Linked DNA regions of Anolis sagrei. The protein of the gene in region 1 interacts with the protein of each later gene in a pairwise test. Links are inferred from orthologs where the notes say so. Each region holds a gene or a part of one and is shown on either strand. Other genes may lie near its edges.

Region 1 (7,952 bases):
AAGCACCTCGCGAGGTGCTTTACTCGCAACGCAAGTAAGCCGCGCGGGCCTGCTCCTCCCTTGGCAAGCTCACGCTGTCCAAGGGAGGCTGCCCTGGTGCTACATGCAGTCATGCAGGCCACATGACCTTGGAGGTGTCTACGGACAACGCTGGCTCTTAGACTTAGAAATCCAGATGAGCACCACACCCCAGAGTCAGACACGACTGGACTTCATGTCAGAGGAAAACCTTTAACCAGGAAAATCTTGGAAGATCCAGGGTGGGAGAAAGAACTCTTGTCTGTTGGAGGTAGGTATGAATGTTTCAATTGGCCATCTTGATTGCCATTTCATAGCCTGACAGTTTTTAGGGGGAATCCTTTGTTGAGAGGTGATTAGCTGGCCCTGATTGTTTCTTGTCTGGAGTTCCCCTGTGTTTGAGTGTTGTTCTTTATTTACAGTTATAATTTTAGATTTTGTTCAGACTAGAAATAGGAAGATTTCCCATTCTCTGCTCCTGGAATTACTGCCTAAAGAGGTCTAGAAAGAACCCCCTCTAAGAGTCCTTCCACACAGCAAAATAAGATATGTGCAATGTGCATAGGAATTTTTTAATTGATTTAAAAAAAAAACTATAGTCCGGCCCTCCATCAGTCTGAGGGACAGTAAACTGGCCCCCGGTTTAAAAAGTTTGAGGACCCCTGTTTTAGGAAAACGTTGAGAAACCACAAGTTCCTCACCACTGGCAGAGAGTGTGATGGGACACTGAAAGAATGTTGAGGAATAGCTTTTTTACATAGAAATAATTTATTGTATTACAGTTAGGAAATAACTTTTATGCTACCATGAGATACCTTGCATAAACTCTTATCATTCTATGGGCTTTCCCAGGCAAGCCCTACAGCCCAGGATCTGACCCCAGGTGTTCTGCTTTATTTGTTTATTTTATTTTATTTATTTAGACTATTTTTATCCTGCCTTTCCCTACTCAAGGGCCCAGGGTGGCTAATAGCATTTATAAAATACACACAATACAAATATTAAAACAAAACATAATACACAATAAAACTAAATATTTTACAGTGCTGAAAAACATTAAAGCCTGTGTATTAACATAAAACTAAAAATCCTAAAGCAAGGGTTCCTAAAAGTCACCTGAGTGCTATCATCTACTTATGTCAATAAATCCAATCACCTGAAAGCTTTCTTAAAAAGAATGCTTTGAGACTTTTTCTGAACCCAAGCAGTGTATGGGTAGATCTAATCTCCAATGGAAGGGCTTTTCACATTTGTAGCCCAGCCCCGGAGAAGGAGCCTTCCCGGTTGTTGTAGACACCAGGATCTCCTCACTGGATGTAAGCAATCTCCCAGGGATGTAGTGAGGATCACGCTATCTCATGTAGTCAGGACCTGTAGAGCTTTAAAGGTCAAAACCAGCACCTTGAATTGAACCTGGAAACTAATGGATAGCCAGTGAAGCTGTTTAAGCAGTGGAGTAGTGTGATCTCTTACCTCCTCTCCTGTTAACAGTCTGGCTGTCATTGTCTGAAAGAATTGTAGTTTCTGAACTGTCTTCAAGGGCAGCCCCACATAGAGTGTGTTACAGTATTCCAATCAAGATGTCACCAAAGTGTGTACTACAGTGCCCAGGCCTGATTTCTCCAGGAACGAGTGCATTTGGCACACAAGTTTTAAATGTGCAAAGGCTATCTTAGTTATCTCTGCCACCTAGGCTTCTAAATTTAAGGTGTCCAGAATCACACCCATACTATAGACCTAGGTTTTTGGCTTTAAACTGGATTATATGAGTCTGCATCTGGGATAAACAGAAAACTTGGGATCAGATCCTGGGATATAGGGCCTGTCTGGAAGGGCCGTGTGTCTCTATAAATCTGAGGGATGCATTGACAGTGTAGAATCAATGCAGTTTGCCACCACTTTAACTGCCATGGATCAATACCATGGGATTATGAAAATTGTAGTTTGGTGAGGCGTGACAACTCTTTGGCAGCAAAGTCCACTAACCTATATATCCCATAATTCCATAGCACTGAGCCTTGGCAATTAAAGTGCTGTCAAACTGGATTAATTTTGCCACCTAGAACAGTGGTTCTCAACCTTCCTAATGCCACAACCCCTTAATACAGTTCCTCTTGTTGTGGTGACCCCCAACGACAACAAGAGGAACTGTATTCTTATTATTCTTAACTTGCTTTCCATATTAAAATAAAATAAAATGTAACTTGAACTGACATGGGAAAGAACGGAGTCCCTTTTCTGACTAAAGTTCACCACACTAGAAGCCACCATGCCACTTTTAGTATGCAATGCTTCTTGGCATGGAGTTGGACTGGATGGCCTACGAGGTTTCTTCCAACTCTATGATTCTAAGCGATCTTGTACCAGTTTAGAAACTAAAAGGACAAAGTGTTGCCAAAGGCTAAAACGACAACAAATATTTCAGAAGTAAATTCTATTATAAATTAATGGGTTTTAATCCCAAGTAATATGCATATGAATGCAGAATTGTCACAACTAACTGGTCAGTTTCCCAGAGCAGTTTCCCATTCATTGGTTACCTCCCAAAGCAAGTTGTTGAAATGTATTTCATGCAGGGCAGCTTTCAAGAATAATCTCTAGAATAGTGGTTCTCAACCTTCCTAATGCCGCGACCCCTTAATACCCTCATGTTGTGGTGACCCCCAACCTTAAAATTATTTTCATCGCTACTTCATAACTGTGATTTTGCTACTTTTATGAATCATAATATAAATATCTGATATGCAGGATGTATTTTCATTCACTGGACCAAATTTGGCACAAATAACCAATACGCCCGAATTTGAATACTGGTGGGGTTGGACGGATTGATTTTTGTCATTTGAGAGTTGTAGTTGCTGGAATTTATAGTTCACCTACAATCAAAGAGCATTCAGAACCCCATCAATGAGAGAATTGGGCCAAACTTCCCACACAGAACCCCCATGACCAATAGAAAATACTGGGTTTGGTGGGCACTGACCTTGAGTTTTGGAGTTGTAGTTCATAGAATCATAGAGTTGGAAGAGACCTCATAGGCCATCCAGTCCAACCCCCTGCCAAGAAATCACATTCAAAGCACCCCCGACAGATGGCCATCCAGCCTCTGTTTAAAAGCTTCCAAAGAAGGAGCCTCCACCACACTCCGGGGCAGAGATTTCCACTGCTGAACAGCTCTCACAGTCAGGAAGTTCTTCCTCATGTTCAGATGGCATCTCCTTTCTTGTAGTTTGAAGCCATTGTTCCGCGTCCTAGTCTCCAGGGAAGCAGAAAACAAGCTTGCTCCCTCCTCCCTGTGGCTTCCTCTCACGTATTTATACATGGCTATCATGTCTCCTCCTGGCCTTCTCTTTTTCAGGCTAAACATGCCCAGCTCCTTAAGCCGCTCCTCATAGGGCTTGTTCTCCAGACCCTTGATCATTTTAGTCGCCCTCCTCTGGACACATTCTAGCTTGTCAATATCTCTCTTGAATTGTGGTGCCCAGAATTGGACACAATATTCCAGGTGTGGTCTAACCAAGGCAGAATATAGGAGTAGCAAGACTTCCCTGGATCTAGACATTATACTCCACTATACTCATAGAATCATAGAATCAAAGAGTTGGAAGAGACCTCATGGGCCATCCAGTCCAACCCCCTGCCAAGAAGCAGGAATATTGCATTCAAATCACCCCTGACAGATGGCCATCCAGCCTCTGTTTAAAAGCTTCCAAAGAAGGAGCCTCCACCACACTCCAGGGCAGAGAGTTCCACTACTGAACAGCTCTCACCGTCAGGAAGTTCTTCCTCATGTTTAGATGGACTCATCTACACCCAGAGAGCACTGTGGACTCAATCAATGAAGAATCTGGACCAAACTTGGCACGGATATTCAATATGCCCCAATATGAACACTGGTGGAGTTTGGGGGAAATGGTCCTTGACATTTGGGAGTTGTAGTTGCTGGGATTTACAGTTCACCTGCAATCAAAGAGCATTCTGAATCCTATAACAATATAATTGGGCCAAACTTCCCTTGCAGAACCCGTATGACCAACAAAAACATACTGTGTTTTCTGATGGTCTTTGGCGACCCCCCCCCCCCCCCAGGTTGAGAAACACTGGCCTAGAAGCTCCCCAGGTGTATACAGCAAATGTAAGACGAAGGGCGGGCAACTGCTGGCACTCCAGATGTTGTTGGGAATCCAATAACTGCCACACTCGAGATGGGCCTTGCCTGAAACTGAGGCCAAGGGGAAAAGCAGGCCTGGACCCCAAGCGCGCCCCTCAGCCCTCCGGGGAAGGGCCTTTCCCGCCCGGCTGACCTCTTTATCCGCCGCCTTCTCGCCGACGCCCAGCAGAGCGTACAGGTCCAGCTCCAGCAGCTCCTTATCCACCGCCATGCCTTCTCCCTCTAGTACTTCTCCGTCCAAACGGCAACAGTTGACTCTCCTCTTCCCTCCTCCTCTCTCAAACACTCCGGAGCTCGCGACGGCCCCTTTGCGCCTGGGAAACGTAGTCTTTTCCCGACCCTTCGCTATAGAAGGGCGATTGGAATCAAGACTACAATTCCCGTCATGCTTTTCTTCCTGCCCTCGCGGCCCTCCTCCGCCCGCCGTCAAGGGCCTCACGTGACGCTTCGGAAGCGAAGCCTCGGGAGCTCCCGGCGGCCACCGCGCGGGGGTTTCTGGGAAGTGTAGTTCCTCCGACGCCTGTTCCTTCGCGGGGGAGACCACAGGAGGGATGTGAGTGAGTATTGCTCTTACCTGGAGTGGCGGGTTTCACTGAGAGATGCCGAGGGAGGGCAGAAAAGGCACCCAAGTCTAAATTAGGAGAGGCTGCTGCCTTCTGTATCAAGTGGGGAGGACCTGAGTCCCTTTAACCTTAGTGAAACATCATTTCCATCTCCATAACGGTGGGTTTGTATGGAGTCTGGCCTTGGTTTTCCAAGGAGGGCCTCTGCTTCATGCCACTGAAGGAAAACTACAGCAGTTCTATTTTAATGTTTCTATGTTCCGGGTTTTACATTGTAATTTGTACTGCTTTTGGTGTTGGGGGCCTCTTTGAGCCCCCTTTAATAGAAGGAAGTGGGGCATTAATAATAATAATAATAATATGAACCCTTCAATTCTGCCTTCATTTCCAGGGCTGAAAGAGCTGACTCATCTGGCCCACTCCCCCAGTTCAGTAGAGTCTTATTTGAAATGCTTTGGACCATAATATTAATGTTTATTTATTATTGATAATTGATAATATTTCTTTATAATGCTTTGGGTTTTGGATTTTTATTGCATTTTGGAGTAATTACATTTATTATTTATTTGCTATATTTCTATACTGCCATTCTCAGCCCAAGGGCGACTCGTGGCCCACAGCAATACAGAGATAATTAAACATTAAAATCATATAACATAGATAAAACTTCATTACAAATATCATTAATAAAACATAATAAAAACCATAAGTCCTCATTTCATTACCAATCATTATCCAACTGTTCCAAGATCAGAGTTTAACAGCTACACTGTGTTTGGAAAAGCCTGCTCATATAGCCAGGTTTTGACTTTTTTTGCGGAACGTTAAGAGGGTGGGGGCCAGTCTAATGTCCCTGGGGAGGGCATTCCACAACTGAGGGGCCACCGCTGAGAAGGCCCTGTCTCTCGTCCCCGCCAGTCAAGCCTGTGAAGATGGCAGGACCGAGAGCAGGGCCTCTGCAGAAGATCTTAAATTCCTAGAGGGTTCGTAAGGAGAGATACGTTCGGACAGGTAAGCAGGGCCAGAACTGTGCTTACCAATACATAAATATTGTGATTTTTTTTAAAAAAAATGAGACCAGAGTATAAACATGAAATTCATTTATACACATAGCCTGAAGTTAACTTTACACACCATATTTGGAATCATTTTTGTGCATGAAGCAAATGGCACACTTATACTGACCCACTTAATGCAGTCTGAATACAGCTTGACAGAGTGATGTTTACATGACATATTCTTCACAATTAAGAGAAGGGAGAAGCAAAGAAGTCAGGGAATGCTCTAAAAGAGAGCCCTTAATGCACACCAACATGCCTCAGTGTTAATATATCATGTTTATTAATTTATGTTTATTATTTACTTTGGATTGTTGTAGGTTTTTCAGGCTATATGGCCGTGTTCTAGAAACATTATCTTCTGACATTTTGCCTGCGTCCCTGGCATCTTCAGAGGTTGTGAGGATGTTTGCCATAGATGCTGGTGAAATGTCAGGAGAGAATGCTTCTAGAATATGGCCATATAGCCTGAAAAACTTACAACAACCCAGTGATTCCAGCCATGAAAACCTTCGACAATTATTTACTTTGTTTATTATTTATTATTTTATTCAGTTCTTGTGGGTTTTTTCGGGCTATATGGCCATGTTCTAGAGGCATTTCTCCTGACGTTTTGCCTGCATCTATGTCAAGCATCCTCAGAGGACCTCACCTCTGAGGATGCTTGCAATAGATGCAGGTGAAACGTCAGGAGAAATGCCTCTAGAACATGGCCATATAGCCCAAAAAACCCCACAAGAACTGAGTGATTCCAGCCATGAAAGCCTTTGACAATATTATTTTATTATTATTTGTTTATTACTTACTTTCTCACCTTGGGGACTTATGGCATCTAACAACCACACAATCTGGTCACAATTTAAAACAAAGCAAAAACAAACAAAGAATTAAATAATACTGCATGGATTTATGTTTTAAAATGCAGTTAAAATATAATAAATACAATTAAAATTATATCTAAAATTCACAATCCCCCCACAATCCCACCCACAACCTCCTCAGCAGCATGCCCCCCATCCTCTCCCAAAGGCCTACTGGCACAGAAAGGTCTTGACCTACTTGCGAAAGGTAAGCAGGAAAGGGCCATTCTGGTCTCTCTTGAGAGGGAGTCCCACATTTTGGGATCAGCCACCAAAAAGGCCCTCATTTCACATGGCGAGACCGATCAGGGACAAGTGCTCCAGTGAGGTATGTGTGGGGACCCCCCCCCATTCTACCATAGCCATGGAGCCATGGATATTGTGGATACTTGAAGCTGTTCAAGGCAGCGTCTTCTATGCATACAAGTCCCATATAGGCCTCAAACTCATTCCAAGACTATGTCTAACCATGTGGATTCTTGTGGGCACCCATGAGTCTCCGCAGTCCTCTGATTGCTTTGCTGACTAAAATCTTCAAAGGCAGTCTGATTCAGGGACCAAAGGATCCCACTTAGAATCATAGAGTTGTGGGCCATCCAGTCCAACCCCCTGCTAAGAAGCAGAAAAGTCGATTTCAAAGCACCACTGACAGATGGCCATCCAGCCTCTGCTTAAAAGCCTCCAAAGAAGGAGCCTGCACCACCTCTGGGGTAGAGAGTTCCACTGCTAAACAACTCTCACAGTTAAGAAGTTCTTCCTAATGTTCAGGTGGAATCTCCTTTCTTGTAGTTGGAAGCCATTGTTCCATGTCCTAGTGTCCAGGGCAGCAGAAAGCAAGCTTGCTCCCTCCTCCCTATGAATTCCCCTGCTCTGGAATTGATAGACCCCTCACCTGAAATGATATATTTCTCTCATTGCTCCCTGTGAAATCACTGCCTTTTCTCATGTTATCACACAGCTAAGTGGTCAGAGTAGATGGAATCAAAGTTTGTGTATACTGGACCATAGCAAGGCAAAGGTGTCACCTATGTGGGCAATTTTAAATACTAGAACAATTAAGATTTTGGAATTCTGGATAAAGAATACCTGTATCATCATCACCATTTCCATCCCTCCTGCTTTTAGTTTTGCTTAAAAGAGGAAAAAGAAGGGATAACCATGCAGAGAGGGGAGGTTATAGTGGAACAGAATCCACAGAGAAATATCTGTGTCCAGTATGTATGCCTTCAGAAAGAAAAATAAGTTCAATATTTCAACTGGTGGTTACAAATCCAGGTGCATT
Region 2 (8,695 bases), on another chromosome or scaffold:
GCTATATGGCCATGTTCTAGACGCATTCTCTCCTGGCGTTTCGCCTGCATGTATGGTAAGCATCCTCAGAGGTTGTGAGGTCTGTTGGAACTAGGAAAATTGGCTTTATATATCTGTGAAATGTCCAGCATGGGACAAAGAACTCTTGTCTGCTGGAGCTAGGTGTGAATGTTTCTGAGTTTTATATAGCAGTGTAGAAGGGACCTAAGATCAATGATGTTTAACTGCCTCATCTCAATGCTTAAAGAACCCTGGGAGCTGTAGTTTCACGAGGTACCAGAACTCTTTGGTAGAGAGGGCTAACAGCCTTGTGAAATGAGAACTCTCACGATTCCACAGCACTGAGCCATGGCAGTGAAAACAGTGTCATGGCATTAATTCTAGTCTGTAGTTGTATTCTTAGGCCCCTTCTACAAAGCTGCATAAAATCCAGATTATTTTCTATGTCCTGGATTATATGGCAGTGTGGACTCTGGGCCCTTCCACACAGCCCTTTATCTCAGAATATCAAGGCAGAAAACCCTACATTATCTGAGTGTGGACTCAAATAACCTAGTTCGTATAAGATATTGTGGGATTTTCTGCCTTGATATTCTCTGGAACTTTCTCCTGAAGGAGATTAGAATGGCCCCCACAATCCTCTCTTTCAGAAAGCAACTAAAACCTAATCTATGTTCCCAGGCTAATGAAGAATCCAATGTTTAATATCTGGCAAGGAATGGCCTAGGGATAGGACTTTTAACAATGGATATGGTTTATTAAATCTACCATTCTGGCTTTAAACCTTGCTATTTATTGTGTCTGTGATTTGTGTTGTTGTGATTTGTCTTCTATGTTGAGTTATGATTGTTTATATTATTTGTTAGTTTATTTTAATCCACTGTGTATTGTATTGTATTTTGTTTAATTTTTACTTTTGTTTATATAGGCATTGGGACCTGTTATCATGTCGGAAGCCGCCCCGAGTCCCCTTGGGGAGATAGGGTGGATTATAAATAAAGTATTCCTATTCTTATTATTATTGCATTTTTATTTATTATGTATTGTGTGGAATTTAATGGTTGCCATCATGTTGTGAGCCCCCATGAGGAGATGGGATGGAATGCAAATAAAGTTTGATGATGGGTTGCTGTCAATTTTTCAGGCTGTATGGTCATGTTCCAGAAGCATTCTCTCCTGATGTTTCACTCATATCTATGGCAGGCATCCTCAGAGGTTGTAAGGTATGTTGGAAACCTGGCATGTCCAGGGTGGGAGAAAGAATTCTTGTCTGTTTAAGGCAAGTGTGAATGTTGCAATGGACAGCTTGATTGGCATTGAAAAACCTTGCAGCTTTAAAGCCTGGTTGTTTCCTGCCTGCTGGAATCCTTTGTTGGGAGGTGTTAGCTGGCCCTGATTGTTTCCTGTCTGGAATTCCCTTTTTTAGTGTTGCTCTTTATTTACATTTCATGCTAATCAAGGTGGCCAACTGCAACAACCACACCTGCCTCCAACAGACAAGAGTTTCTTTCTCTCACTCTGGACATTCCACAGATATATAAACCCCACTTGCTAAGTTTCCAACAGACCCCTGCACCTCTGAGGATGCCGGTTATAGATGTGGGTGAAACGTCAGGAGGGAATGCTTCTGCAACATGGCCTTACATCCCGGAAAACTCACAGCAGCCATATCATTATTATTATATTTTTGATTTATTATGTATCGTGTGGCATCAAATGGTTGCTATCCATGTTGCGAGACATCCTGAGTCTGCATGGGAAGATGGGACGGGATACAAATAAAGTTTGATGATGATGATATGGCAATGTAGAAGGGCCCTTAGACACTGACTCCCTAACGTTGGCCCTCCACTTTTGCACTTCAACTCTGGGCAGCCTCAGGGCCCTTTAATCCTGGAGCTGATCCCAGATTTTCTGCTTTAAACTGGATGATATGAGTCCGCACTACCAGATAATCTGGGATCAACAGAAAACCTATGATCATGCTGCATTATCATGGCGTGTCTGCGCCCTACACCACTGGAGAAATTACACTGTTTAGCCGGTATTGCACCAACTGACATCTGCTGGGAAGTAGCAGCCAATAGTAAAAGGACCAAGTCAGTGACACCTCCGGCCCACCCCCTATCCCCGTTTGGGTATCAGCTAGCACGGCAATGACTTAAATCAAGAAATAGTTTTCTAAGATCTACAGAGACACTTGCTGGAACACCTCAGCAAGCAAGAGTCCAAAAGTGGCAGGCTAAAACCCAGTACCTCAATCAATGGCTGATACCAAATGAGAGACTCCGTCCTGAGCACACAGAAAACTGGGCGACTTGGAAGGTGCTTAAAAGACCGTGCTTAAAAGAGCCAACCTTAAAAAATGGGGCTACAAAGTGGAATCCACGACATGCGAGTGTGAAGAAGAGCAAACCACAGACCATTTACTACAATGCAACCTGAGCCCTGCTACATGCACAATGGAAGACCTTCTTATAGCAAAACCAGAGGCACTCCAAGTGGCCAGCTACTGGTCAAAGGACATTTAATCAACTACCAAGTTGTATTGTCGAAGGCTTTCATGGCTGGAATCACTGGGTTGTTGTAGGTTTTTTCGGGCTGTATGGCCATGGTCTAGAGGCATTCTCTCCTGATGTTTCGCCTGCACTTTGGCAAGCATCCTCAGAGGTAGTGAGGTACAAATTTTGTGTTTTGTTTGCTTGTTTTTAATGCAATACAACTGTTTGGTTCGCTCCTGACACGATCAATAAATATCCTGGGATAAAAGGCCTGTCTGGAAGGGCCCTCGGTCACTTTGGCCAAAGGTCAGGGATTCTGGGAGTTGAAGTTCAAAACATTTACAGGGGCAGAGTTTGGGAACAACCGGTTAATGGGGTGAGAGATGTAGTCTGACCCGTTTGGAGGAGGATTGCCTAGTTAGCGGCATCTTTGTGATTACATAAGGCGGCAGGAGTTTGATAATCAAGGCACACAGCCATATTACTCAGAATATCAAGGCAGAAAGTCCCACAATATCTGCTTTGAAGTGGGTTGTCTGAGTCCACACTGCCATATATCCCAGTTCAAAGCAGGGGTTTTATTCAGCTGTGTGGAAGGGGCTTAAGTTCAGGATGAAATAAGCTTCGAGCTGGGCTTGCCCTCAAGCTAGGCCTCTCCTCTGCTCCAACTCGCAGCCACACCGTGACCAGGCCTCTCCCAGGCGCGACCTGGGTTTCGACGGGGAAATGCTCACCTGCAAGTTGGACGTGGCCGCCATGATGGGCGGAGCTGTCAGGGAGGGCGGCGAAGAGCCGAAGAGGAAAGGAAGCCTCCTAAGAGTCCGCTCCAAAGAAATATGTATATATATTCAGGCCCTCCGCTGAGAAAGGCAAGAAGAAACACTAAAAAAATCCCGAGTCCTCGGCTACTTCCGCGACCCAGTCCCACCGCCGGGCGAAAAGGGAAACCACGCTGCTCTTCCGCTTCCGCTCAGCTCCCGTGACGTCACGGCCGCACCCGGCCCTGGAGTTGGGAAGGAGGAAGAAGCGGAGGGAGACTGGGAAGGAAGTGAGAGGGCGGTGACGCATGCGCAGGTGAGAAGGAGCCGCGAGGCCGCAACAGCGCATGCGCAAAGGGCTTCCCGGTTTGCTCCATCCTGTTCAGCTGTTTTTTTTTGGGAGCCGTGACGTTTTGCCTGCGCGTGACCGGAAGGGACGCAGGTGTAGCTGAGCCCATATTGACATCCTCTCCTCCGCCTTAATTATCTTATTACCACTAGCGGTCCCCTGCCACGCGTTGCTGTGGCCCAGTCTGGTGATATGGAAAATAAAGTAATTAGAAAGTGCTGATTTCTAATTGATGTCTTTATGCTTGTGGGTAAACAGTATTTCTTGCTATTGTCGAAGGCTTTCATGGCTGGAATCACTAGGTTCTTGTGGGTTTTTCCGGGCTATAGGGCCATGTTCTAGAGGCATTTCTTCTGACGTTTCGCCTGCATCTATGGCAAGCATCCTCAGAGGTAGTGAGGTCTGTTGGAATTAGGACAATGGGTTTATATATCTGTGGAATGGCTGGGGTGGGGCAAAGAGCTCTTCTCTGCTGGAGCTAGGTGTGAATGTTTCAACTGACCACCTTCATTAGCATTTGAAGGCCTGGCTGAGCCTGGGAAAATCTTTTGTTGAGAGGTGTTAAGATGTGCCTGGTTGTTTCCTCTCTGCTGTTTTGCTGTTGTAATTTTAGAGTTTTTTTAATACTGGTAGCCAGATTTTGTTCATTTTCACGGTCTCCTCCTTTCTGTTGAAATTGTCCACATGCTTGTGGATTTCAATGGCTTCTCTGTGTAGTCTGACATGGTGGTTGTTGGAGTGGTCCAGCATTTCTGTGTTCTCAAATAATATGCTGTGTCCAGGCTGGTTCATCAGGTGCTCTGCTATGGCTGACTTCTCTGGTTGAAGTAGTCTGCAGTGCCTTTCATGTTCCTTGATGCGTGTCTGGGTGCTGCGTTTGGTGGTCCCTATGTAGACTTGTCCACAGCTGCATGGTATACAGTAGACTCCTGCAGAGGTGAGAGGATCCTTCTTGTCCTTTGCTGAACGTAGCATTTGTTGGATTTTCTTGATGGGTTTGTAGATTGTTTGTATGTTGTGTTTCCTCATCAGCTTCCCTATGCGGTCAGTGGTTCTCTTGATGTATGACAGGAACACTTTTCCTCTGGGTGGATCTTCGTCTTTATTCTCGTGGCTTGTTCTCGGTCTTGCAGCTCTTCTGATATCTTAGGTGGAGTATCCGTTGGCCTGTAAGCCCAGCTTAGGTGGTTCAGTTCATCTTGGAGGAGGTGGGGTTCGCATATTCTTTTTTCACCAAGTCTGCCAAGTCTGCCAAGTCTTTAATGGTGCTTCTTTTTTGACTTGGGTGATGGCTGGAGTTTTTATGTAGATATCTATCTGTGTGTTTGGGTTTTCTGTAGACGGTGTGACCCATAGGTGCAGGCAAAACGTCAGGAGAAATGCCTCTAGAACATGGCCCTATAGCCCGAAAAAACCCACAAGAACCTAGTATTTCTTGCTATTTCTTTGTCAGTGTTGATGTGGAGATTGTCTGGTTTTCCTACTCTGGAACATGCAACATACAATTGTCCTTTTAAAGGGGTCTCTTTCAAATCTATAATACTTTATCTGTGTGTGTGTGAATCATATATATCTATATATGAGGCTCAGGCGTCAGTGGTGGCCGGGAGGGCCTTTGCACAACTAAAACTTGTGCGTCAACTGCGACCATACCTCGGGAAGGCGGATCTGGCCAAGGTGGTCCATGCCTTAGTCACCTCTAGACTGGATTACTGCAATGCACTCTACGTGGGGCTGCCCTTGAAAACAGCCCGGAAATTTCAGATGATCCAACGGGCAACAGCCAGGTTGTTAACTGGGGCTCCGCCTGTTCAAGGAGCTCCACTGGCTGCCATTCATCTACCAGACCCAATTCAAGGTTCAAGTTCTTACCTACAAAGCCCTGAACGGTTTGAGACCTGCCTACCTACGTGATCGCATCTCTGTATACGAACCCACACGATCCCTTCAATCTTCTGGAGAGGCCCTGCTCTCGATCCCACCAGCATCGCAGGTGCGTTTGGTGGGGATGAGGGAGAGGGCCTTTTCAGTGGTGGCCCCTCGACTCTGGAACTCACTCCCTAAAGATATCAGACAGGCTCCAACTCTGGCAGTCTTCAGGAGGAGCTTGAAGACGTGACTGTTCCAGTGTGCCTTCCCGGAATGATGATCCCATAGCACTCTGTCCTTCAAAGCACTTTACATTTCCCTGAGTCTGCTTGTATGCCCTCCACAAACACCAGTATCACCTTTCGTTTCATGGCCCAATTTTAACTCTACATTGGGCCTTCCCACTGTTTTTAATTATGTGTTGCTTTTTTGATAATGTTGTGTACTTTTGTCTATGTTTTTTAATTGCTTGTATTGATGTTTTATTGCTTTTGTTGTTGTGTTTGGGCTCGGCCTCATGTAAGCCGCACCGAGTCCCTTGGGGAGACGGTAGCGGGGTACAAATAAAGTTAATAAATAAATAAATAAATATTTATTTATTTACTGCGCTTATATACCGCAATTCTCAGCCCAGGGGCGACTCATTGCGGTGTACAACATAGAAAAACAGGTGCAAAATACAAGACATAGTGTAAAAATAATCCATAATTCATCATTATCAAAAACATCCTAATCAAAAACATCAACATTACTACAAAAGCCATTCCATGTCGTCTCATCGTCAAACCCACAATCTGATAATATTTTCGTTGTTCCATTCCTATGGTCAAATTATCAATCATTGCACTTCTTGTTCAAATGCCTTCTTAAACAGCCAGGTCTTTAATTTCCTGCGGAATATCAACAGGGAGGGAGCTAGCCTGATGTCCACAGGAAGGGTGTTCCACAGCCGAGGCGCCACCACCGAGAAGGCCCTATCTCTCGTCCCCGCGGGATGGCTCTCTGTCAGGAGGGCTTTGATTACTTTTTTTGCCCTGGTGAAGGGAGTTGGACTGGATAGCCTTAAGTATTTTCTGTTGGTCATGAGGATTCTGTGTGGGAAGTCTGCCCCAGTTCTGTCATTCGTGGGGTTCATTCAGAATGGTCTTTGATTGTAGGTGAACTATAAATCCCAGTAACTACAACTCCCAAATGCCAAGATCTATTTCTCCCAAACTCTATCTGTGTTCATATTTGGGCATATGGAATATTTGTGCCAAGTTTGGTCCAGATCCATCATTGCTTGAGTCCACAGTGCTCTCTGGATGTAGGTGAACTACAACTCCCAAACACAAGGTCAATGCCCACCAAACGCTGCTAGTGTTTTCTGTTGGTCCAGTCTGGTGATCTAATGAGAAAGTGTTTCTAATAAATGTCATGTGTTTATGCTTGTGGGTAAACAGATTTTCTTGCTGTTTCTTTGCCAGTGTTGATGTGGAGATTGTCTGGTTTGCCTGCTCTGGAACATACAACGTATCGTTATTCTTCTTTGAAAGTGTTGTTTCCTATTTAATTGTGCAATACTTAACTTTGAAAGTAGTTATACCCCAGAAACTTCATTTTTTTTTGTGGCTGCCACAAACTATGTTGAATTGGTTTAGATTATATGAGATATTTATTGAAAAACTATAGCTGCAGGATTTTTTTTGGACACAATTCAAATTCCATTTTCTTACCCTATGTTTAAAAAGGTAAAGATTGGCCCCTGACATTAAGTCCAGTCATGTCTGACTCTGGGGTGTGGTGCTCATCTCCATTTCTAAGCCGAAGAGCCGGTGTTGTCCATAGACACCTCTAAGGTCATGTGGCCAGCATGACTGCATGGAGCACTGTTACCTTCCCACTGGAGTGGTACCTATTGATCTACTCACATTTGCATGTTTTCGAACTGCTAGGTTGGCAGTTTACTGTTTACAGTTTACTGAATCAAAATACAAAAGAATATTGCACTCCATTAGCAAAGGGTGCATCTACACTGTGCAATTAGTGCAGTTTGACAACACTTTAGGTACAGTGACTCAGTAACATGGAATCCTGGAATCCTGGACTAACTAGCTTGGTGAGACACCAGCACTCTTTGGCAGAAAAGAGCAAATGCCTTACAAGACTACATAGCCCATGATTATAAACTGCCAAAGTTTTTGCTGCATATTCAAGAGTAGTTTAATTTGGCATAAGGGGTTTTTTATTGCAGGCAATTTCATTACAAATTAAAAAGAGTTAGCTGTTCAGATGTGCTACCAAATTGCAGAGCAGGAGCAGAGAACCTTTGACAGACACCCAAACCAATATATTCAACTGCCACTTTCATAATCCTTTAAGGTGGGTCATGCTGTGTGATGCATAAACTGCAAAAATCTGAACTGATTCAAGCATCCATAGCTCTACACTTAACTATTTGAATTGTGTCCAAAAAACATCATGCAAGTCAGTGCAGTTATTAAAAATGTGTGCAATGTTGCTGACAAAGCACATTCATCATGAAATCTAGATGGCCTATTTGGATTAGTTGCTGTGTTTGGCCTTTTCTCCACCAGGTGAATTACTAAATTAACAATGTCATAAGTTTATTTTTTATTTGTTACCCACCTCTCCTCTTAGCTCAAGTTGGCGTACCGATTTTCTGGATCCATCACGGTCTGGTACCCACCTAGTCCATCTTTTGCAAAGATCTAAAAACATGGATGTTCCATTATGCTTTTGATTAGATGGTTCCCAGAAAATGTTGGCTCCAGCTATGACTCAAAATCTAGCCCTTGCACTTTCCTGTCGTTCCCTACCCAGAGATATAGAGATCTACTATCCCTAATTTTGTCATCTGGAATTTGCACTTTATCCATCAGCCCTGTCCTCACAACTGATTTGCACCAGCCCATGTAAGCCACCCCTAGTCCCTTTGGAGAGATGGAGGTGAGATACAAAAATAAAGATATATATGTGTGTGTGTGTGTGTGTATTACAAACTATAACCTCATCCCACAAGAGGGGGTAGGCGTCACCTTATTGTTTCTCTTTCTTTTAAAGAAAGAGTCCCACAGAGCCCATGAAGTGACACAGGACTGCTTTCAGTGGATTTTGTTTTTAAACTGTAAAGAAATGGGAGACTTGTGAAGTTAGACACAAATCGATTCCACTGCTCTCCCTTCACACAGAATCGGCTAAACTGGGTATTTTAAGAT

The links.
Region 2: the proteins of ZFYVE19 (region 1) and VPS4B interact in binary tests that used the Homo sapiens proteins (3 or more experiments, as listed by UniProt). The two-hybrid records come from large-scale screens. The link is inferred for Anolis sagrei from reciprocal best matches to the Homo sapiens genes ZFYVE19 and VPS4B.

Annotation. Positions count from the first base shown.
Region 1 is NC_090021.1:289,480,748-289,488,699, reverse strand, and holds the start of ZFYVE19 (abscission/NoCut checkpoint regulator), read left to right. Parts: upstream 1-4,632; 5' UTR 4,633-4,746; intron 4,747-7,952. Other genes in the region: DNAJC17 (dnaJ homolog subfamily C member 17), read right to left, coding at 4,323-4,400. UniProt on the Homo sapiens protein: Key regulator of abscission step in cytokinesis: part of the cytokinesis checkpoint, a process required to delay abscission to prevent both premature resolution of intercellular chromosome bridges and accumulation of DNA damage.
Region 2 is NC_090024.1:89,438,601-89,447,295, reverse strand, and holds the start of VPS4B (vacuolar protein sorting-associated protein 4B), read right to left. Parts: upstream 3,529-8,695; 5' UTR 3,260-3,528; coding exon 3,236-3,259; intron 1-3,235.